Arabidopsis thaliana: one gene and its partners. The protein of the gene in region 2 interacts with the protein of the main gene of each other region in a biochemical or structural test. Each region holds a gene or a part of one and is shown on either strand. Other genes may lie near its edges. The genes, in order: AL6, RING1A, AL2 and AL7.

Region 1 (5,528 bases), on a different chromosome or scaffold from region 2:
AAAATAAACAAAATATTAAGAATTTATACATAAAAATCTGTTATTTAGGTAAATAGACAAGAGAAATAAAATATAAACTAGAAATATCCTTCTTGTTTAGATTAATTACAAAAATATCATCGATTCAAAATAACTTTAATATTTAAAAATAAGTATATAACTATTTGTTTAGCAAGCTAACATATATAATAACGTGGTAAATTTACATATTCTATGTTAAATAAATGTTTATCGATTTAAAATTATGAATCAATATTATTATTTTTATATATATCAACACAATAAAAATACATCATGTTATATAATTAAAATGATAACGATTATAATAACATTTTACATAGAATAATAACATGCTAACATACTAAATATCGAAATAATAGTTGTCTCAACATGGTAAGATAATCGATATATGAATAATAACATGGTAACATACTAAATATCGAAATAATATTTGTCTTAACACGGTAAGATAATCGATATATGGATAATATTTATTTGAACGTACTAAATGTTTCATTTAACGTACTAATGTTTCATCGAACCTTTTATTTTTAGTTTAATTAATTTAGGGGTATAATTGTCATAAAATTAAAATAGTAGAAGACAACGGTGTTTTTTTTGTCAGTTAATTATCATTATTCTGAGGATAGATAGTCATATTACCCAAAAAAAAAAAAGTAAACTAATAAATGAGTGGCATGATATATAAGCTACATGCCCAAACACACATCCTTGTCTAACATTGGGCTCAAATAGATCTAGTCAAGTAATAATTTGGGCTGTCATAATTTATCAACTTCAATCTTTTTTTTTATATATATAGCAAAAGTTCAAAAGACAACAAGATTGATGGCAATGTATATTTGCACTATGAAAAAACAATAGAAGTATTAGATAATTAATACTTGAACCATTTTTTCAAATGAAACAGTTTTTCTTTTTGACAATAATGAAACAGTTTTAAAAAAAATTAGAAGTATTAATCCTGACTGATACCTTTTGACCAATACCAATTTCATAATATATGGTGATATAATCAACTTAACTACCAATCATATGAAACAAAATAAATAGCTAAATAAAAGAGAGAGTAAGATAAAAGATGAATAAAAAGACTACATAACGACATAATAGTTTTTACAATTTTAGCAAATTACTAATCAGAAAAAAAAAAAAAAAATTACTAATCAGAACTAAAATATCTTAAACAGACCAAACAAATTAGTAGTAGAATTAACATTAACAACAACAAAAATCCAAAAAAAGAAAAGAAAAGACATCACCAACTGTAGATAGTCTCAATCCAACAATAAAGACTAAGCAATACAATTTTTTTTTTTACCTGCTTACATCTTCTAAGTCCCTTTTACTGGCATTTCTTATAAACTGGAAACTTCACCTTCTTCTTTCATAATTTTCTCCTAACTCGCTTTACCTTTTCATAATTTGGTTATTTAACTTCAAGGTCTAGCTCTCTTGTTACTGCAAGTTGGGCATTTGTAATGCTTGATGTGTTCTGCTTTTGCAGGTGTTATCTTCACACATTTTCCATGGAACCATTTCTCACACGCGTCGCAGCAAATCCAGAACTCATCTGTACCGTAGTTGTCTCCACAAGCACCACAAACCGCACCTTGTTCATCGTCTTCACTCTCATCTTCACTCTCATCTTCTTCTTCTTCTTCTTCTTTTGGCGGTGGAGATGACATCTTTGCAACCTTTGAGAGAGATTCGGATTGGCGAGACTGTTTGTGAGGAATACAAAGAGATAAAACTTAGCAGAGATTGATAAAACAAAATGGTGAAACAGAAGAGATACCTTGACGCCACTAGGTTTGCTTTTGCTATTATTGTTGTTAACAGATAGATCCTTGGACTGCTTTGCATTGCCGCTCACAACTTCGAAAATGGTTGGCAGCTCATTAATCATCTGGAACAGCCTCTTCCTGAAAAAGAATCGGTCCATGGCATAAGCTTAAAGGCAAGTGATAGCTAAGTTGTTCAAACAAACCTAATGCCAGAGAAGAATTTGATGAGATTCAGAATCAACAACTCATTCTGCTCAAGCTTTTCGTTTAACCTGTCAGCTACCAGTATCAAATAATGGATTCAGTGATTGTTGCTGAGCTCTCAACAAAGGTACAATGCAGTGGAAACTACCTAGGCTAATTACAGTGATCCTGCACAAGACTAATACAAGAAGTACTAATCAGACTTAGAGGCACATATCACATCTATTGACTAATATATCTATCTCAATAACATTGATCCAGATTGGTGCGATTCATAACTCTAGTCACTTCAAAATAGAAACTGGGAACCACTTACAAAAAGAGTTACACAGAAACCGACCCTATAAATAAGATCACGTGAGTTACAAAAATCCACACAGAGATTGTTGTATCAGACAAATAGACAAAACAAGAGGATGCTAGAATGATCATTATAACCTTACCACACATGAGTACACCCAATATTGTCATAATTGAGATGCAACACTCAAAAACACTGAGCTTGAGAAGGACCCTTACCTCTCATTCTTGCCAAATCCGAAACGTGCACCAAAGTAAAATGCAACAGAAAGCAGCCATGAATCACTGTGAACTGCGACCAAAGATACCCAGTCCTTTTCTTGCATTCCGTCTCTAGCGAAATTGATGCCTAAAGCTGGTTCAGGAAGCTCAGGAGGAACTTCCTCAACGGGTAGATTAACCTCCCATGTCTCATTTGGAAGTCCATAGAGACACAAATTCTCCTTCTCTACATAAACAAGAATGAAACACCTTAAAGAAAAACCACACAGAGGAGGACTAACTAACTCAATCTTTAACCAACACAATTCAACAACATACAAGCTCAACAACTTCAACAAAACATTTCACTAGAAACTATAGAAGCTAAGCAAGACTAATTTTTTAAAAGTTGTGAAGAAATAACTCACCAGGATCACACGTTTGGTAAAACTTCACCATATCTGCATAAACAAAACACAAAACCCAGAATCGTCAAATCTCACAAAAGAAACCCAAAATAAAAAAAGTTCTTCTTTTTTAACAAATGAAAAACCCAAATGCCACAAAATCGTAACTCTGTAGATACTTATCATTCTGATTCGCAAGTGAGAAACAAGAATCAGACCAAAACTGACCATTAGTGAGAGCTTTAATAAGACCAGCTCGTCGACCTCTGAAGTCGCTAAAGACCTCTTCAACAGTACGAGGTATTGGATGAGTAATTCCCTCCATTTCACAAACGATGTCGCCGGAGAAATCGCCGGAGAATATGAGTACTCCGGTCAAAATCAAAATCTGAGACAAATGTTTCCAGGCAAACAAAAGAAACCCAGAAGGAAAAATATTCACTTTGGGGTTTCGGATTTGGAGAAATGAAATTTGTAAATCTCTGAAAGAGAGAGTTTTTTTTTAATTTGGGGGAAATTGAGAAAAGAAAAAAAGAGAAAGGAGCTACAAACCCTAAAACGATAAAACAAAAGGGACCGATCAAAGATTAATTTTGGGGCTGAGAAGTAATATTAATAAAGACAACATTGTCTATTTTATTATTTTTGTATTAATTAAATAAAGACAACATTGTGTATTTTATTATTGTTTATGTAATAATATAAAATCTATTTATTAATTCCGATCTACATACCCTATTTTTTTCCGAGCTACATTCCCCACTCCCAAATTTTACATTATTTTTATTTTGGTCAAAGACATTTATTTAAATTTTATTTTATTTTTAAAAGTGTCGACGAAAAAAACATGTATTTTTTTTTTTTAACATATTCATTTCCATTAATATTACGAAAAAAAAACATGTTTTTATACGTAGGCTGAGGCATCCAAATTGATCCACAAATTTGGTTTTTGTTTTCAATTAACTTGACCTTAAAGATAAAAGTTAAAAGTTAAAACATTCAGGTCCATCTTGTATTGTACAGAAATAGCATGCCTGGCCCATTAAAGGATAGTGGGCTTTTATAGTAACCTAGGGGAAATGAGATTTGAAGTTTTCAACGATCATCACATTCACGTATTTTGAAAGTTTTTTTCACGATATACACCAGAAATAGATATTTTGAAAGAGAAAGCTACTAAAAAACGGAAAACATTTTGCCTTTTATCACTCAAAAAAATAAAAAATTCATCAAATTTTTAATTATTTTATTGTTTTTATGTGTGATTCTAGATGTAAGAATTAAGAAACGAACCAATATTAATCGGATTCGTTATCTTTGAATATTTTTGCGTTAAGCACGTCGTACTAGCTAGCGAATACGTTTACCGCAACTGTAATCTAATTCGTCACAGAATATCAATGATGTGGTATAATCAACTATAATCTTCTTTTTTCTTTGGGCAAAATCAACTATAATCTATGAATATATACTTACTAATATAGGTGATAGACATATATTATTTAAAATAATCTAAGAAAACATGCAAATACGGTTACATCGACCGGTTAGAAAGGGAAAAAACTTTAAAATTAGTACTTTCGTATCATATTCAAGTCAGTATATATTAGGATTTTGCCACATTACATATATTATTAAAGATTGTTAATAATTAGGATTAAAAAGACTAGTATGAGAGTTAAGTCAAGTTTAAATTTGTTTTTCTCATTGAGAAAAAGGGAACTGATTTCTTACAACATACAACTGTTCATGCTGGTCATATCTGACAAAATCACGGGAACAACTGCTCTTACCAAATATTGCACGTCCTATGCTTTTTTTTTTTGTCAAACCCTAATTAGTCTTATATTTACAAAGACAAAAAACTAGCTAACATCTTTTATCTTTATATATTTCTATCTCAAAATTAGTTGTTGAATTCTTAAGAGTTAGTGGATTGTTTATCTATAAAGTCGCACTAACAGGTAACTAAAATTAAACATCTTGGATCTAATGCATGTAAATGACAATGCAAAATGAATTCTAATAAGTGATGAATAAACAACAAAAAATATCAACATTCAATTTGAAATTTTGAAATGGAATGAAGACCAAATTAAATATCACTAGGTTGGATTTACGGTTACTATTGTTATGGTTTAGTTAGTGTTTGGTTTTAGTCTGGTTTCGGTTAGGGCTCGTACATGAAAATCTAATCCAATAAGTTTATTTCTTCTTTGGTTTGTTTGAGAACTTTTGATACGGATTGCACTCCTTAGTCATTTTGTATTCATATATTACAGTGAATTTTTTTTTTTTAACTACGTTGAATCTAGCTTAAAGAAATTAACTTTAACACAAGAAAAAAAAAACTACTTAATTGACTATATATGTTGAGAATCAGTTCCATTACATAAACTCGCAGTAATCAATCATTGTCTATCGCCATAACAATATATAAGGAGTATGAAAATATGGCAAAGCAGCATTAATAATTATTGTCATGGATAATAATCATGATCTAATTAAATTACTTAAAAGGAATATTAGTATAGTGATCTCTGTTTCCATCTGGTACTATTGGATTCCACATATCCCACAAAGCATTGTTTGGAATCGTTCCTGC
Region 2 (6,699 bases):
TAGAGCTTTTGTTTGTTTCCTATTGTCTTCAGAGCACAGCCAGTGATTAAAGAGTAAGTGACTGTTCATCTGCTGTTTCTTCGTCAACATATACAGTTTCCTTTACATATTCAAAGACTCAAATAATTTCTGTGAATTCTCACCTGACTGGCTGACTCAGAGATCAAATTTCTGTTCTGGATAAACTAAAGGCCTCTTACAGAATTTTTCAAGAGTTTAATCTGCATGTGGACCATCGGCCTATCGAAAGGGCAGACTTTGACCATAAAGTAAGCTTATCTAACTCGATCAGCAGATTAAAAGAAACCTTTTGATTTCTCAACTAACTTGTTCTATCATCTTTGGTTCCAGATCAAAGAGAAAGAGATGATGTACAAGAGACATCTCGAAGAGGCGGAAGCCGCAAAAATGGTATAATACTATAAATTTTCTGCCAAGTATAGATGTATCTAATAAAAGAGTATGATAGTAAATGTATTTTACCTAAAACTTTGTCAGGTAGAGGAAGAGAGAGCTCTAAAACAACTGAGAAGGACAATCGTTCCTCAAACCAGACCAGTGTCAAACCTTAACAACCCATTCTTACCTCACAAGTAAGTTCTGATCCAAACCAGGAGTTGATTTCTTCTTTTCTGTTCTTGATTTTTACCTACACTTGTTAAACAAAGAAAACTCCATGTCAATTAAACACAGGTCGAACAAGGAGACGACAAAACCAAATTCACCAAAGCTTAGAGTGATTAGAAGAATCGACAGGAGAACAATGATGATGGTTTCTCCTCACATGAGGTAGCTGTTAAAAAGTAAAAAAGACTAAGCAGCAGCAGATATTGCTGTTCAAGAACGTTTGAACCGCACCAACCGCTCAACGTCTCCATTATAAAATGAGGCAGTAGCATAATCTTCCTGTGTTCTGAGACTTGACTGATATATATATAGTAAAAAAAAGGTTTCCATATAAAAACTTGCTCCGGAAATACTAAGCAACGTCTACAATGAATACACAAAGGAAAAAAGTTTGTCACAAACAAAAAACTTCCTAAATAAAAAAACCAACTGAGATATATAATCTAGCAAACGGATAAACAAAACAAGCCCTGATCCATCTGTTTATATATTATACACTGTTTGCACTTCCGCAGCACGTCCATTAGGCTCCAAGTTTCTTCACTCAGTTTGCTTCTTCCGGTAAGCTATGATCTGAAGGCACAAACCAAATAAGGAAAAAGTCTCACAAAGTTGAATCATACTTAGATTAGACTGTAAGATATTTAGATAAAAATTATTATTATTGACGCTACCAAATGTTGTTCATGGCTTGAAATGAAATCGATTTTGAGCCTTGACAATGTTTCATTGTCTTCCAAACTCAGCATCTCATCTTTAGATGCTGCTGCTGAAGCTGGAGTCACTGCAGGAAGATTCTCTATTGCCGCATCTTCTCCTACTCTTCTTCTTGTTACTAACAATTCAACCTCTTCAGTCTTCAAATGTATCTGAAGTGCAACGAACTGTACAACATTGAAAGTTGACAAATATATTAGCGTATGTGATACTGAAATCATTTTTGTTATTGAATCATATTGAAGTACTTTCGCATCAATATATATAACAAAAAACCACTTTCTACTGTGACAAGTCTGATGATAACTGTAAAGGGAGAGAGAGTGCTCACTTCACGGAGCTGTTTTACAAGCAAAGTGGGTCGGCAACAGAGATATGGCTGTGGTAAGTCTGGTATACATTTTGTATCCAGCGAGACAAGCTTGACATGAATATCCAACTGCAAGAAAGATTAAGTTTAATCGAAATCCAAACTAACTGCAATCAAAAATACAGGTCATCAAGAAGAAGAGAATCATCGTTTTTTTTCTTTGGTACCTCAACACTAGATCCATCTACGCTGCTGCGTAGATATTCAACAAGTTTGTTCACACGGGCATTCCTTACACTCTTACTACTACCTCCAGAAGTATTATTCCCATGCCTTGTGTTACTCCTTGTCCCGCCTCTTCCCCAAGCCAGTATCTCGGGATTCCACACAAGCCCGGGAGATATGCCTTTGGTGTCTCTATACACTTCTGTGTCGTTATCTGCACAGTTACCATTGTTTTTGTTTGCACCTGAAGAAGAAGGGTGTTGTGTTGAACGACTTGTAGACCGTTTTCTACGTTTCTTCTGCCGGACTTCTGTACCACGCTCATCTGAAGACGAATCTTTGTCTCTTCCTCTGTTGTTATTATCATCATTATCATCATCTTCATGAGCTTCTGATGCGTTTTGTTGTTCCATGTTTCTGCTGTTCCGTCTCCTTCTGGAGCCACTAGCAATACGCGGTGATCTCATTAAGACTGCTGCCTCTTTACCAAGAGATCGTCTTTTCACAAGAGCCTCAGATTGTCGTTGCGATATCTGAGCTATAGATGCTTGAATCTACACAAAAGCCATAAGAAGGTGATTAAGTATATTTTAAGCAATAGTCAAAAAAGTGAATAACAACATTCTCCATGGTATCCGACCTGCTTATTACGAGCCATTTCATCTTCGTGAAAAGCCAGTTCCTGAACCAAAAAAAACAAAGCGTTTTAACAGCAACAATCTCTCCAAAACAAACAAGCAGGAAAAATATGTTGATGCTTTACCTCTTCCTCATAACTATCAATATTTGTAAATAAAGCAGCAATAAGAGCATCAAATTTCGGATCGTCTCTTAGAGAACGCCGGCTTGCACAATGCTTCCTGCAAGCAGGACATTCGTTATTCCTGCAATAGAAACTTCAGTTAATATAAACTCAAAAAAAAGCTTTAGAAAAGCCAACACTTATGGCTCCCAAGAGAATGATGAAATATTTAACTTGAAAGTGGCACAGAACTGAGAAGCAAGAAGAAACGAAAACAACATAGATAATAAGAGTAAGACCCAAACAATTTGAAACCGTACCCCAATCTCATTGACTTATCAATACATTCCCGGCAGAACCTGTGGAGACATTCCATCACAGTCCTTGTTTTCTTTATAATACCTGAAAACAGGACAACAAGAAACTCGTTTCAGCCAGATGTAGTAATGTAGCTTAAAAATAGAGTGTGAACCAAATCATGCCGACTTATCTACAAGAATACGATATGAAAAGACGCAAGAATTTCATGCCGACTGAAGAAAGTAACGGCTTTCGAGCTTTAGCAAAAGTTCTGTTCCCAACGAGAAATATTCAGGACAAAATTGAGTACCTAGGCATATTGGACACTGCACGTCTTTACGGATTTCCCCTAGATCAATTTCCATAAACCTGCATGAAAAAAATGCAGACACAATTAAACAAGAAAGATCCATCCAGCTTCTTTATTCTACAGTAAAGAATCTATCTCAAGACAAAAATAAAGCTGACATTCTAAAGGTCAAGTTAAATAGAAGATGAATCATTCTTAGGACACAACTTCCAGTAATGGCCGCTATTATTCAAGGTAAAGACTTTACATTGTTTAGCCACAAGAGCGTAGAGGTTTTGAGCAGTAATACGAGAGGAATTACAACATGCAAGTGCTAAGAAGATGCATCAACAGATTACTAAATCAAGCAGAGCAATTTTAACATTTAATTGACTAGAACAACAGAAGTAAAGAAATATTGGAGTAGAGAACCCATCACAAGCTAAACACATCTGGAGAAGAGAAAGACAGAGAAATGAGAAAAATCATTACTCTGATTGGTCTCCAGATATAGAAGATGGACTTCTTTCTTTAGAATCTGAAACAGAAACAAAGAGAGAGAACCAAATCGATCACATGAACAAACACAAAACACTCTCACGTTTACACGAGAGTAGAAGAAACAAAAACACATCCTTTACCTTCTTCTTCTTCTTCTTCTTCCTCTTCTTCTTCTTCCTCTTCCTCTGCTTCTTCATCTTCCTCTGCTTCTACTTCTTCTTCCTCGTCCTCCTCTGCATCGTCACCATCATCATCTTCCTCGGCGTCGTTGGGTTTCACTACTTCTTGGTCTTCCTCCGCTTCGTCGTGTTTCACTTCCTCATCTCCTTCTTTCTCTTCTTTCGTCTCATCCTTCTCTTGTAGATCCTGTGTAGCTTCGGGGTTAAATCGGTCGCGTGGTTGGTCTGCCACATCGGGAATCTCAGCCGACGAGAAGCTATTATTCTTGACAGACATTGTAGGGACACACACTAAAGATCTTCTCTCTAAGAGAAACCCAAAAGGCTCAGCCTTTGTCTCTCTCTCTCTACGTCTCTCTCTATTCTTCTTCTTCTTCTTGTTCTGCTTCGTTTGTGTTTTTGGTTCGGTGCCGATATAGACGAAATAGGAGAAAGAAATCGGTCGAAGAAAAAAGTGAGAATTTTGGCCTCTTTTTTTTTTTTGCCATTTTTCTTCACTTTAATTAATATATCCTAATTATATTTTTTTCTTCTTAATATCTCCTAATTCTATTATTTAAACCGGATTATAAAACTTAAAAAACATAAAATCGACCGCTTTTATAAAATTGTATTGCTGTCGAAAAAAAAGAAAAATATTTAAATTTAAACCCACTTGCTCACTTGCCAAAGCCATGATTAAATTGTAAAATTGAATTTTTGACTAAAAATAATAAAATGACTAACTATAACAAAATCAAAGAGCTACGCCGTCTGTGGGGATCGAACCCACGGCCACGTGGTTAAAAGCCACGCGCTCTACCACTGAGCTAAGACGGCTATTTGTTTATCACTTTCGTTAAACTATATTTAACAAGGTTTATTGTATTAAATTAGAACAATAGACTGGGCCAAAATTGAGTAAAGAATGTTTAAGCAAGAAGGCCCAACAAAAGCAAAGGAAGAAAAAGGAAATTTGTAACCAATAAAAACAGTCCGAACTGGAATTGTACTTGTGTCCAAACAGAGAGTTTAAAGATTTTGTCTTTTTTAGTCAAACAGATAAATTTAGGGTTTCTTCTCAATCTCTTATAAATAGCTCATCTTCCGCCGTTCTTTGTACATTCATTCGATTTCTTCTTCTCGTTTCTCAATTTCGCTTCTTTTGCAATATTCCGTTTTACGAATTTTCTTTGTTTGAAATTGGTCTGAAGAATGTGATGAAAGTTGTCGATTATGTGTGATGATTCTTTAGATTCAATTGATCGATAAAAACTTCAATTCGCTACGTTCTTTCTGATTCTTCATCCCTTTAAAGAAAACAGTTTTCATAAGTTTTGTTTTTAGTAATTTCAGATTCAGTTTTTCAAGTAATCAAATTGGTGAAAGATAACATCTTGGAGAAATATGATGATAATAATCAGTAAATATCTTAGGACACCTTCTGACACAGTTTACTGTGTATGAGAATGACTTGTTAATCTGATTCTCCATATGTTTCTTCTTTCAAATCTTTATCAAACTGTTTTACTATCTTCAAGAGCCTTTTATCAGAATCTGATTGAAAGTTAGGAACTTGTAAAAATATGTAATCAGAAACAGCATACTGATAATAGGAATCTATGAAACATATATGGATATGTTATGTTATGTACACATCTCTGTAATATATGAAGAAGTGTACATACATGTAATATACACAAAGAACCAAACTCTATGATGAGTCTGTATAAATGTTATACACATCACTCTATAACCACAGAGCTTAGCTTTTTATAAGCCAACAACAATCTTTTAATCTCTATATATTACAAACAAATTTTTCAAAATCTACGAACCAAATAAGACTCTTCTTGATACAACAAGACTTGAATGGTTCTCTGTTTTTGTCCTCTGATAAAAGACTCCCAGCAAAATCATTCAGATACGTGATTTAGTTTCTGCAGTGTTTTGCTTTCTGTCTGGTGAAATCTTGGAGCTGCCGGTCGTGTTCTTCCAGCATCTGATCCACTTTTCTTGGCTGAGCCAGTAATGGACCGGACATGTACATCTTGTTATCCCCTGAATCATACTATATCTCCAAAGAGAGAGAGAGAGATAAAGACAATGTAACTGAGAAATGAGGAAAAAAATAGTCTCTTGAGATGACTTACCCAAGATGGGTCATTTGGGATTTTGGTTTGTCTTTTACTATTATCCATAGTGTCAGCTCTGTTGAATGTTCTCAATTCCTTCCTTTGCTGATCCATCATTTGTTGATCTGACCCAACATAACCGCCTCCTTGTCCTGCTGAGTTAGCCCTATATGAAGGTATTCTAGGGGCTGCATTGTCCTTCACGTATGTTAACCGACTAAGATTCCGGTTTTTCATCATCGGACCTGAGTGAGAGACTCTTCCGCTTGTTGGATTGTTGCAGGTCATGTCCTGCATTTGTCTTTGTGAATTACCCGGAACACAGCTTCTTAGATAAGGATTCTGTATTGGCCAACAAGTTTTTTTTTAAGTTAGGATTCTGATGGATCAGAGGGAACACCGAACCATAGCAGATCGAGCCTTTGTGTTACCTCCACAGCTGTTGAAAGTGATGGATTATTAGCTTTTACCGGCGGGATCAGTTTTCTTTCGTGTGATCGTCTTGTCTGAGAGTCTTGTCTCTCATGCTTCTCCTGGGTGGGTCGTTGCCTTTTCGCATCATCGCGGATTTTGGCATCAATCTCTTTGCTGGGAGGATATTTTGGTAGAGAAGATGGATCACAAGCAAACGGCTCTGTTCTGAAATACTGCTCCAAAACAACTGTGTGTTACTAATCATAATGCTTGAATGAATC
Region 3 (5,641 bases), on a different chromosome or scaffold from region 2:
TAATCTATTAGACAATTTAATTTTCTTAAGAAAAATTAGTATTGACAAACAAAATGACGGACATGTGAACGCAATAAATATCTAGTATCTAAAGATGGTAGTATGGTACACATATTAGATTAAGTAATGTATATAAAAAGGATAATTCGTGTTGACCATGTATTACAGAATCTTGTTAGATCCGATTTAAGTTCTTTATCATATATAGTTGGGGACTTGGGGGAGCTTGTAAGTAACGTTTACGAAGAAGATTGGACGGATATCACTTTGAATACCCAAAACTAAGATTTTTGTATTGTGAATTTGTGATCTTCATGCTGGCTTTACTTGGGATCGCCCTTCTTGATATTACATACATGCATGATCACATTTATAAATTGATTTGTATTGATTTTGAATATTGATCATTGTTATTATTATTATCATCAACATGCATTAATTAGCACAAACCAAAACACTAGGCTACAAATCATTATCGTCGAATAAATATTCAGTCGATGAGTTTAAAATTTAGTTAAATTCAGTCGATTGTCAACTATTAACATTTCATGAATTTCTTATTGAGTATGATGCTAAATAAATAGTATTTTTTTTTTTAAAAAATAAAAATATTTGATTATTGTCGCAAATTTGATTGAAAAATTTAGATTTGGATTTAGAGATGATTTGTGACAATCTTGATGGTTAATTATAAAACTTACCAATTCTAAGGCTTGCGATCACATTTACTTGCCCTTTAGAACTTGGAAAACATGTTGGCTCTTTACAATTCCGGCCAAATGAGAAGACTATCACTTTGACATATCACATAATATTGGATAATAATATTCTTTAAAATTATGAAAAACAATATCTTAAGACAGATAAAAGACCTAACAGAAGATTAAAAACATATTTGTTCAAAATTCGGTTCGAAGCTTAAAGATTTGACTAAGTCTAACATATACAAACCCCATGACACAACACAATTGATGACACAACCCAGTTTTTTTTTTTTTAATATGAATAATAATAATATTATTCAAACAGTTTGCTACTCTCTCCCTCAACTTCTTGAAATCCCTTTCTTGAGATCTAAAGAGAGAGTTTTGTATGCTTTAAAATTAAGAAGGTTAAAGAAAAAAAGAGAAGAAAAGAAAAAAAGTTGATTAACATATTGATTAAAACATGAGAACCAGAGTCTCTCTGAGAGATCATCATCATCATCATCATCAATTGATCAGCATCACTGTCTTCCTTTCTTTGCACAGCAAGGCGGGCATTTATACTGCTTGATGCTCTCTGCTTTAGCCGGAGTTATCTTGACGCATTTTCCATGGTACCAACGTTCACAAACATCACAGCAAATCCAGAACTCCTCATTTGTGTAATGACCTCCACAGCTTCCACAGAGAGTGTCTCCATGCTCGTCTTCTTCTTCCTCCTCCTCATAGCTCTCTTCCATTAGTTTCGGTGTTGAGCTCTTTGTCTGCCCGTCTATTGATCTCTGCTAATTACGATTTTTGATTTCAAAGAGGGAAACCAGATAACAAAAAAGAAGAAAGGAGGCTCCTTATTTTGTGTACCTTAGTGCCATTTCTGGATTTGCTTCCTGAGTCCGAGCTTGGCTTGTTGTCTTTCATGGCTTTCCTACCAGTCACTACATCGAAGAGAGTTGGGAGATCGTTGATCAGACTGAATAACCGCTTCCTGCAAATCAAAAGAATAATATAACTCCATGAGTGGACAACACATTGAAAAAGGCAGCTAAGATAAGCTAAGAACTAGATTAGCAAGCGAAAGTGAGGAAAAACGAACCAGAATCTTCATATCAGTACAACACACAATTGTGATGTTTTATCTAGCATTATTTGTTTGCAGCTCTGTCGGGTTAAATTCTCTATCCTTGGAAATGCATCTTACGAAATGCTTTTTACTAGTCTAGTGTAAATAAGATAGAGGACTAAAATGGTAGAGGATCACTTTAGAGACTTGTTAATGGTATAGTGAAACTACTGGTTGAGAAAACAAAGTCCAGTTTCTTGCACCTTTAATTGAAACCTATCTAAATGCCAACAACTACTTCTCTCTTGAAGAACAATGAAACAGATAATAACCAAAATAACATTGTTTTCTAGAATATATGACAGACAGACAGTAAAATGATCTCATTAGTACTAATCAAATAGCAATTTTTTTTGTCAAAATTTAACTTTCACAAAACCTTTGTCAGTAAAGTTCTTTGGATTCCATAGTTACTAAGATGGGTGTTCAGATGTAACAATGAAATGGTGAAATTCAGCACATGCGACCACAGAATATCCGTTTTCAGATTTCATAGAATAGCAAATACCAGGCTTTTAAAATTAGGGAGGATAATCAAGTTTCAAGTTTAGCCATTACAATATCCAAAAGAGCTGAGAAAAAGTTTAGACAGATGAAGTCATGCAACAAACAATACTCCATAGATATGAATGACGAATAGCGAAAAAAACAAAACAAAACAAAACTCATTTCACGCAAATTCAAAGACAATCTCATTCCAAACGAACTCCATCATCATCACAAAGTTTCAATTTTTACTTCACATGAGAAGAGCCAGGATGGAAAACAACTATGGGGTTTCATGTAAGAACAACACAGAATCCATTGAAATCAAGTAAAAGTTGGAGACATGGCTTAAGAAAACACAAAACAATGAGAATGCAGAATCAAAATGTTGGGAAAAAGAGAAATACCTCTCATTGCGATTAAGACGGGCTCCAAAGTAGAAAGAAACAGAGAGCAACCAACAATCACTGTGAACAGCAACAAGAGAAAGCCAATCTTTCCTCTGCATACCATCTCTAGCGAAATTGATACCAAGAGCAGGCTCAGGTAGCTCCGGAGGCACTTCCTCTGCTGGTAGATTCACTTCCCATGACTCATTAGGGTGTCCGTACAAACACAAATTCTCCTTTTCTATAACCACAAACACCCAAAAATTGAAATCAAATCTCAATAAAACACATAAAAGGGTATCTAAAAGTCGAAATCTTTCATACCCGGATCGCATTGAGAGTAAAAATCATCAACATCTGGAAAAAATCACAAAAACGAACAAGTTAAAGGACGAATCCAAAGGCATTACGAAGAAATCTGGGAAATTTAGAGAAAGAGAGAGAGAGAGGATTTAGACCTTTAGTGAGAGCACGAAGAAGAGCGGCACGACGAGCGGAATAATCTTTGAAGATCTCTTCAACGGTGCGAGGGTTAGAGGAAACGGCTGCGGCGGCCATATCTCTACAGATTTTTATAAGATTTATAGATCAGTACTAGTTGACAAGGATCGATGTCTGTATCAATGGTTTTTGAGACCCGATGCGTTCGGGCATGAAGAGAGAGAGAACAATAGATATGGAAGGAGATGGAGAGAAGCAGACGGAACAAGAAGGAGAAGAAAAATAAGAGAGAGAGAGAAAATAAAAACTTTATTTTTATTTTTGGGAGTTTGGTTGCGTCAGCGAAAAGGTTTGGTAGTAGACGAAGATGCGTCGCTTTTTAGGTAAATGGCATTTTAGTTGGGCCCTTAAGTGTTAGGTTTTAGGCCCAAATAAGTCCAATCTCCTAAGCGACTTTTTTGTTATCGGCCCAAATTTAGTTACTTTGTGATTTTACCTTCAAAACACTAAACCCCTGTCTGGAGGAGTGTTATGTGATGAGTTTCAGACATTTGTTAATGTCTGTAAAATGTAAACAAGAAAAAAAGAAATTACTTGAACACAAACTTGGTGTGTTTCTGTGATTTAAGATTTAGATAAGTATAAACTTTAAAATGGTAACGTTTTTCGAGCGAAACTGAATCAGATTATAGCAGAGACACTTGTAATGTAAACAATCTAAAGCAAAGCTTTATCACATTAAGACAGTGAATTATGTGAAGATAGGGTCTTGTTGTTGTTGTTGTGTGTGTTGAAATGTTTAGTCCCATTGTTCTTCCCAGAAATAAGTCCATTCTGAAGAATTTACTGTCTGTTTGCCATCTGCTGATACAAGATCATAAGGAGAGTCATCTGCGAATTCTGTTGGCATTGATTTCCAGTGAAGTGATGGATGCCATTCCGCTTCTTTAACCACTCTTAGTATCTCTCCCGCTACTATTTTGCTTCCTTGTGCTGACAAATGAATCCCGTCTCTGTAACAAACCAGACTATACCGTTAAAACATTTCAATGAACATCGTCGATACTCCATTCCCGGTTATCGCATTTGGAAACTCTGAGAAAGTCATATATATCAAAGGTCTCTCTATATTTCTTCAGAACTCAAAAAATACTTACGTGAAGCAAACAGTTTTCCAGTCATCTGCTTTCTGAAAAGTAGAGAAGAGATCAACTACTTCTAGGCCGAGTTCTTGGCACAGCTCTACACAAGCATCTGAATAAGTCTTGCAGAGGTCGTTTGTGCGGATTACCTCGCTCAAGTATGGGCTTGTGAGAGAAAAAGAAGCACATCTATATTAATAAGGCCGGAGAGAATAAGGAGAAACAGAGAGATAGTGAAGAAATTCAGGGAAGTTACCTTTGGTTCTGGCGAACTTTAGCCTCATCCACTGGAGGAGAACTAAGAAATATGATTCGGGTGAAGTCTGAAAGGCTCTGAAACAGAAAATAGAGGAAGAAATTAGCACTTGAAATGGCTTTTAAACGTGACTGACAGGAGATAAATAATAAATCTAACAATTATAAAGGAAGTATAAACCTGAAGATGAAGAGCGATCTTCTTCATGTTATCAACATATTCAGTAAGTGGTACATGAGGTCCTAGTCCAGACGAGTGAGGCGCCATTGAGTCGTTTCCTCCAAAATAGACAATGACCAGAGAAGGTTGTACTGCAGCATCCTGCATCCGTAACAAGTTGCAATTTTTAGGCGACAAAGTGGAAGAAAACAGAAGCTTTGAATATGATGGTTTTCTACAAAGTTAAGCTCATTCTACCAAATTTTTTTTATAATGGGTAAGAGAAAACAGCTTGAGATATCAAGAAAACTCGGATGAAACAGATTATGCTTAAACAGAGACATCTCCCTTGAAACAGATGCAGAGTCTTGTATGCTAAATCAAAGACTATGCAACTAAAATAGCCACTTGTGTAATCCTTTTGGGGTACATTTTGAACTAGTAAAATAATGTTCACAAAGAATTCTTACTAGGTCAAATGATAAGCACACATCAACCTATACGGACTAATATAAAGACCTATAAAACGCTGAATCTTTATCATAATCTAGTATTGAAGAAACTAATAGTCTAAAGAGAGAAGAAGCAAAAAAAAAGGGAGTTGAAAGAGTACCTTGGGGAACACTTGGTCGACAACTTCCAAAGCACGAGAAGAGTTCCATCCATAATATCCTCGCAGAATGATGTCGGCCTATACACATAACATCCAAATGGAGAAATAACATTATGGTTCGCATAATACACGCTTACAATCGTAAAACAAAAGACGAATTTCAATGAACAAATGTATAGTTAGGGAAAATAATAAATAATACAGAGTAATTAGAATAAGCGATCTACTTGTAGAATCAACGCTCTAGTAATCTAACCAAGGATGAATATCGAATCCAGAAGCCACAGAGAGAGAGAGATTGATGAATCTGACGATACCTTACGAGCGTAGA
Region 4 (6,073 bases), on a different chromosome or scaffold from region 2:
TCACCTTGCTGTGATGAATGATAGATTTGAAATTCTTCAAGTCCTCACCGGTTGGCTCCAAAGAATGAGCCAAAAAGATTCTGCTTCCACCGAATCTGATTTCTTGAATAGAAAAGATTTAGCACACAACACGCCTTTGCATCTTGCAGCATATAAGGAAGATCATCAGGTATAGTTCTTAAAGCTACTAAACTTTTTTTAGTTTTGTATGTTTTCTGTCATGTTGTGTCAAAATTGGCCTGAGTATAAAAGATATGTATGCAGGCGGTAAAACTGCTGCTACAGTGTCAGCTGGTGAAACTGAACGAAGTAAATGCGGATGGTTTAACATTCCTTGATATCTTAAGAAACAATGGACAGAGTAGAGACTTGGATAAGGATTTGGAACAAGTTGTTGTAAAAACCGGGTGCAAGGAGGCGGCTTCTCTTCCGCAACTCGAGAAACCGTCTGATCAGTTTAAGTCACCAGTCACTTTCTTGGCTCATTGCTCCATTGGCATCAGACGCCTAAGGTCCGACACTTCAGAAGAAGGCCGTGCAGTCTTCTTGATTATATGTACTTTGATACTCACATCCACTTATCAAACTGCACTCCAGCCTCCAGGAGGTGTACACCAGTCCGAGGGTGGTGGTACCGCAGTAATGAAACAGACATTCTTCATCGTCCTTTGGGTTTCTAACACTATAGGCTTCTGTTGCGCTCTACTCTACACGTTTTGTCTCCTACCAATCGGTAGCTTGTTTACAACATGGTTCTTTTGGATTGGAGCGTCTCTGGGAGTTTCTTATGCGCTTGCTATGGCTATAATCTCACCCAACCCTCTATTGTTTCTTTGTGCGGCCTTTACCTTGTACCTGCTCTTTCCTATGTATCTCTTTATGGAAATTTTCATAGCCCTGAGGCTGAGCCATCTGAAGGCTGCAGTAAATCGAATGTTTGTTACATTTGTGAAACAGAGAGGGACTTTGAGAATCTAAAGATATAACCTCGACAAATTGTTATTGAATGTCATGTTCTATGAGGTAATCAGCTTAATGAGTTTCATCGGGAGCCAAAGTTTAAAACTTTTAAAGCAAGTGAGATACCGAGAAGAAGAAACCACTTGACATAGACTAGAGAGTGCTTAAAAGACAGAATTTTCTCAGAAACTTAAGACAAATTAGTCATAACATTTTAACATTAACAGCAAAAAAAAAGAAAAGAAAAGAGAAAGAGACATTACTAACTGTAAGCTGTCTCAATCCCATTAAAACTACGCAATCAGAAGCCTTTTGTTTCTTCTTCTTCCCACAGCTAAACTCTTGTACTGTCTTCTTAAACTGTGAAAACGTTTTCCTCTTTCACAGGCTCTAATGTTATTATCACTTTCAGGCTTTCATTTTCTTGCTGGTAGTGCAACTTGGGCATTTGTAATGTTTGATATGCTCAGCCTTTGCTGGTGTGATCTTCACGCATTTCCCATGGAACCATTTCTCGCAAGCATCACAACATATCCAGAACTCATCTCCTCCATAGTTGTCGCCACACGCACCACAAACAGCACCTTGCTCGTCATCTTCATCCTCATCTCCGCTCTCATCTTCTTTTCTTGGTGGAGGGGACATCTTTGAAGCCTTAGTGTGAGATTCAGAATGACGAGGCTGCATTAGAAAACAAAGGAGTAAGTAGAGATAAGAACCCAACACAGATACATGGACTGAGAGGGCGAAAAAAAAGAGAAAACAGAAGCTTCTACCTTGCCACCACTAGATTTGCTTCTGCTACTGTTGTGGTTAGCAGATTGATCCTTGGATTGCTTTGCATTGCCAGTTACAACCTCGAAAATGGTTGGGAGATCATTTATCATCTGGAAGAGCCTCTTCCTGAAAGGAATTAATAAGATCAGAGGCAAGATAACTAAACCATTTGAGTCTATAATATCAGAGAAAACAAACAATGTTACTTGGCTATTCAACAAACATGATCTTTGACCTAAATTCTTAAATCTCAATAAATTTTGGTTCAGCTTAGATGGAATTCAATACATTTGTAGGTTCACTTCTCTCTACTGAAGGAGAAAAAATGATGATCACTTCTTCAGGGTTGTTTCACAGAAACAGGATAACATGAGTTTAGTGTGCCAGAGATCGTCACTAGTATCTACAACAACAACTACACGGTGTTTGGATGCTAGAATTATGCAGCTACTATACTAGTCATTGAAGCTTTACCAAACAAGCAAAATTAACAAACACAGAACACTGAGCAGAGAAAGAAACTTACCTCTCATTCTTGCCAAATCCGAAACGTGCACCAAAGTAAAATGCAACAGAGATAAGCCATGAATCACTGTGAACTGCAACCAAAGAAATCCAGTCTTTTTCTTGCATTCCGTCCCTTGCGAAATTGATGCCTAACGCTGGTTCAGGAAGCTCAGGAGGGACCTCCTCAACGGGAAGATTAACCTCCCATGTCTCATTTGGAAGTCCATAAAGACACAAGTTTTCCTTCTCTGCATTAGCAAAAAACGTAATTCACTAAGAAGTCAAGAAGAGAAACCACAAAGAGAACTAACTTCATCTTAGGTACAAATCTCACAAACACTTAAAAAGTCTATAATCTGTTCAAACATCATGAACCAAAAAAACTGTTCAAACAGACAACAACTCTGACAGGAAGATAATCAAAGATATAACACCTAACAGAGGAGTCAACTAGAAAAAGGATCATAACAACAAGTCTACTGCAGATTAGATGTAATCAGGAAGAAGCTAACTAAAACAATCTAACAGAATTTAGAAAAACAAAAGCTGGGAACAAAAAGAATCCGTGAACAAACTCATGAAGCAAAAAAAACGCATGTCCAATTACAATCTCTTCCCTAATTCAGACCCGAAAGGAACTCTTGCACTGAAAAATCTTAACTTTAGCAAAAAAAAAAAAAACACATCTTCCTATAAACAAGATAAGAACCAATGCGTTAGGAAGCTATATACAAGACTTTAAATGGGTAACGAAATAACTCACCAGGGTCACACTGATGGTAAAACTTCTGTACATCTGCAAAACAAAACACACAACAAAAGAACATGAATAAACCCAAAACAGGAAGAAGAAAGCCAAAATCTTTTGGGGGTTTTTTTCTCAGGAAATTAAGAAAACCCAATTGAAGAAACGAGCACTAAACATATAAAAAAAACTCGCAAATCTACAGAAATCATCTAAGATTCGATCAAAAGAAACAGAGTAAATAGAGAAAGAGAGATCGAGCTGACCAGTAGAGAGAGCCTTGATGAGACCAGCTCTACGACCACGAAAGTCGCTAAAAACCTCTTCGACAGTGCGAGGTATAGGATGCTGAATTCCTTCCATAGTATTGCTTCAAAAGCCAAAGACTTTCACAGATGAGAATGAATCAGCCTCACCAAAGAATGCTTCCAAGTATCGAGATGCACTCAGAAACAAAAAAGCCAAGATCGGCTTTTTAGTTTTTCCTTTTGAGGGAATTTTGTATAGTTCGGGGGAGAGTGAAATCTATAAACTTTCGGAGGAATTTATTTCATTTGGGGAAATTGAGAAGAGAGAGCTGTGCTAAGAAAAAAAAACCCTAAAAACGAAAAGGAAAGGAGACAAAAGACAATTTGAGGGATTTGGAAGCATTGGAAGAATAGATTAAAGCGACAACATCTCAACTTTTTTTTTTTTTTTTTAAAGTCACAACCTGTATTTATCTATTTATTTAATTCACTCCAGAAATATAAAGTCGTTTTACTTTTCTTTTGTTTTGGGTCAATATTTATGTGCGCTTTTTTTTCCTGAGGCATGTTCTACAACGAACTGAAGTAATAATACAGTAAATTTCTGCCAGTTTTACTGTGATTAACGTTTAAGAACTGTACTATAATATCCATATCTGTCGATCAATATAATGGAAAGGCTAAAGATTAAAAAAAAATAATGATTTTAAACAAAATTGATGGTTTTACAATATTCTGTCATTAATCTCTAGTTAATAATGAGTTAAATTATACTACTAATAGTTAAAAAGAATGCTTCAAGCTTAATACCGTAGAGAGAGCGAGGGTCTTTATCTGATTTGTTTAATCGTTAATGTTTTTTGTTATTATTTTGGTTTTGTTTATACTACTGTTTTACATGTTTTTGTTAATTTTCATGTGAATTATATTCAAATCAAACTCTACAAAGCTTTAATACATAGAAGTTAGAACTACATTAGGATGGATGACTATGTATTTCCTATCTTTTTGCAGATTAGAATTTGCGGGTAAGTAAGTAAAATGAGGCGTTGATGCTTTTATCCTCAAAAGAACAATCAGTTGTTTTTATGAAGAAGAAAAAAAGAAGAAGAAGTTAGTCACAGTTGGGAGATACTTGACGTGTATCACAAGTTGTCAGATACTTAGCAGAAAGATTAATGGTATAACGTCGAAACCAAAGAAACATTTTGATCTTCATACCAATAATTAAGTTTCCGGATGTTGTCTAAGAATCAGTTTGCTCCATTTCACGTTTCGACCTTATTGACATGTTGAATCATCAGATGACACATGGAAATGATTTTAAAACAATATGTATTTGTTTGGTTTGCTCTTCATCATGGTCTAATGAGCTATTTGCATACAGCATTTTTTAACATGGTTGTCTAATTTGGGATGTAAGTGTCGTTCTTTTGTATAAAGTTGTTTGATGGAGTTTCGTATTGTTTGATTAATTAAAAGGTAGTTTAACTAATAAAATTTAAATATATTTACGAATAATTAGGATTAGGAACACATTCACGTACTTGCCACATTAATAAAAGTAGACTATTAACTTTGTAAACATGTTATTAATCAATATTAAAAATATGCTACTGTCACATGACTCGCCTTCCAAGTTAGCTAACTATTAGTTAACTTCTAATATGTACTTATTAGATATAATAAGTATAAGTTCGAATCAATCTATTGTAATACCAATGTGGAATGAATTCATAACAAACTATCTTTCTCTCAAGGTTCATTCGTAATAGATTCATAAACATTCGATGAATAATGTAGTATCAGCTGACCAGTCAACAATTTTTGTAAAATACTAAGGCAACAAAATCAAGCTGACTATTCAACAATGGGCCTAATCTCACGAAAACGCCCAATTTGAAATCAACGAAGCCCATAACGCAGTGGTCTTCTCCGTCCATCCACCTGAAGCCCACAATTGATTATGGAGATCATCATCCGAAATCTTCAACCAAATCATTTCAACACAAGGCCCTCAACCCCGAAATTCGATGAGAAAAACTTTTCAACATTTTGTCACTGAAATACGGTTCGCATAATATAATGGAGTTCGGGTAAACCTGGTCTGAAATTTGATTACGAAAGGGCTCACAAATGATTTTACTAGTCTTAGTTAATTAAGCTCGAGGATAATGGGGCAATAGTTGTAATTACAAAAGTTATGGGTCATATTTAAAACATAATAAAAATATAAGGACCATAAACTAAAAAGTTTCAGTGTATCTTGCATCACCGAGGCAAGTATGCCAGTAGCCTCTCCAAGCATTTCAACAATCTTTGCCTTCCACCCGAAGGAAAGCCAATCCTATAAAGAGGGACGAAATCAGATGTAACTTAGCTTGCACATCCCCGAAAACACCAATATTCTTAAAGATTCCACATTATTTCCTGAATAAAGAAGAACCAAAAGGAACATGGGGTTCCCTTACCTCGCCAACAAAAGTCAAGTAAGTACCAATATTAAGAGCACGCCCATGACAATTTTTGCTATCTTTTTATTTTTTTGTACGAATACTCTTCAGATCTTTTTCAGTTGATGTCAATCCAAACTTTAATCATGAGTCTATCACAATGTTGTTGAAGTACATAAAACAAGGATTTATAAACGAGTTAGGAGAATTTTAAACCACAAAAGTAACATAGTTTCACAGAATTGTATCAAAATATCATTATTGTTGTTATATGTATTCATGAAGTGAAAAAATATTAAAATCTTATAAATAATCAGTTTTATACACAAAAATATATAAATTGATATTTCGAGTTACAAATGAATCTAACCATAAAAATTGTA

Evidence for each region.
Region 1: the proteins of RING1A (region 2) and AL6 form a complex in vitro, tested with the Arabidopsis thaliana proteins (one study listed by BioGRID).
Region 3: the proteins of RING1A (region 2) and AL2 form a complex in vitro, tested with the Arabidopsis thaliana proteins (one study listed by BioGRID).
Region 4: the proteins of RING1A (region 2) and AL7 form a complex in vitro, tested with the Arabidopsis thaliana proteins (one study listed by BioGRID).

What each region holds. Positions count from the first base shown.
Region 1 is NC_003071.7:650,554-656,081, reverse strand, and holds AL6 (alfin-like 6), read right to left. Parts: upstream 3,507-5,528; 5' UTR 3,246-3,506; coding exon 3,149-3,245; intron 2,975-3,148; coding exon 2,942-2,974; intron 2,761-2,941; coding exon 2,532-2,760; intron 1,947-2,531; coding exon 1,820-1,946; coding exon of another isoform or gene 1,746-1,819; coding exon 1,461-1,745; 3' UTR 1,097-1,460; downstream 1-1,096. Other genes in the region: LOV1 (NAC domain containing protein 35), read right to left, coding at 5,433-5,528. UniProt on the Arabidopsis thaliana protein: Histone-binding component that specifically recognizes H3 tails trimethylated on 'Lys-4' (H3K4me3), which mark transcription start sites of virtually all active genes.
Region 2 is NC_003076.8:17,834,948-17,841,646, forward strand, and holds RING1A (RING 1A), read right to left. Parts: upstream 4,308-6,699; 5' UTR 4,168-4,307; coding exon 3,852-4,167; intron 3,780-3,851; exon of another isoform or gene 3,749-3,779; coding exon 3,703-3,748; intron 3,291-3,702; coding exon 3,232-3,290; intron 3,155-3,231; coding exon 3,124-3,154; intron 3,024-3,123; coding exon 2,981-3,023; coding exon of another isoform or gene 2,942-2,980; intron 2,873-2,941; coding exon 2,856-2,872; intron 2,764-2,855; coding exon 2,643-2,763; intron 2,562-2,642; coding exon 2,520-2,561; intron 2,434-2,519; coding exon 1,882-2,433; intron 1,784-1,881; coding exon 1,676-1,783; intron 1,512-1,675; coding exon 1,302-1,511; intron 1,201-1,301; coding exon 1,168-1,200; 3' UTR 902-1,167; downstream 1-901. Other genes in the region: AT5G44270 (TPX2 (targeting protein for Xklp2) protein family), read left to right, coding at 163-269, 352-411, 499-593, 694-793; AT5G44290 (Protein kinase superfamily protein), read right to left, coding at 5,803-5,940, 6,023-6,346, 6,436-6,651. UniProt on the Arabidopsis thaliana protein: Putative E3 ubiquitin-protein ligase that mediates monoubiquitination of 'Lys-119' of histone H2A (H2AK119ub), thereby playing a central role in histone code and gene regulation. As part of the PRC1-like complex, repress class I KNOX gene expression.
Region 3 is NC_003074.8:3,507,162-3,512,802, forward strand, and holds AL2 (alfin-like 2), read right to left. Parts: upstream 3,498-5,641; 5' UTR 3,258-3,497; coding exon 3,158-3,257; exon of another isoform or gene 3,057-3,157; coding exon 3,024-3,056; coding exon of another isoform or gene 2,941-3,023; coding exon 2,718-2,940; intron 1,690-2,717; coding exon 1,566-1,689; intron 1,487-1,565; coding exon 1,226-1,486; 3' UTR 835-1,225; downstream 1-834. Other genes in the region: AT3G11210 (SGNH hydrolase-type esterase superfamily protein), read right to left, coding at 3,940-4,153, 4,298-4,447, 4,539-4,615, 4,719-4,859, 5,311-5,388, 5,628-5,641.
Region 4 is NC_003070.9:4,960,803-4,966,875, forward strand, and holds AL7 (alfin-like 7), read right to left. Parts: upstream 3,714-6,073; 5' UTR 3,353-3,713; coding exon 3,256-3,352; intron 3,041-3,255; coding exon 3,008-3,040; intron 2,493-3,007; coding exon 2,264-2,492; intron 1,864-2,263; coding exon 1,737-1,863; intron 1,642-1,736; coding exon 1,369-1,641; 3' UTR 979-1,368; downstream 1-978. Other genes in the region: AT1G14500 (Ankyrin repeat family protein), read left to right, coding at 1-169, 265-978. UniProt on the Arabidopsis thaliana protein: Histone-binding component that specifically recognizes H3 tails trimethylated on 'Lys-4' (H3K4me3), which mark transcription start sites of virtually all active genes.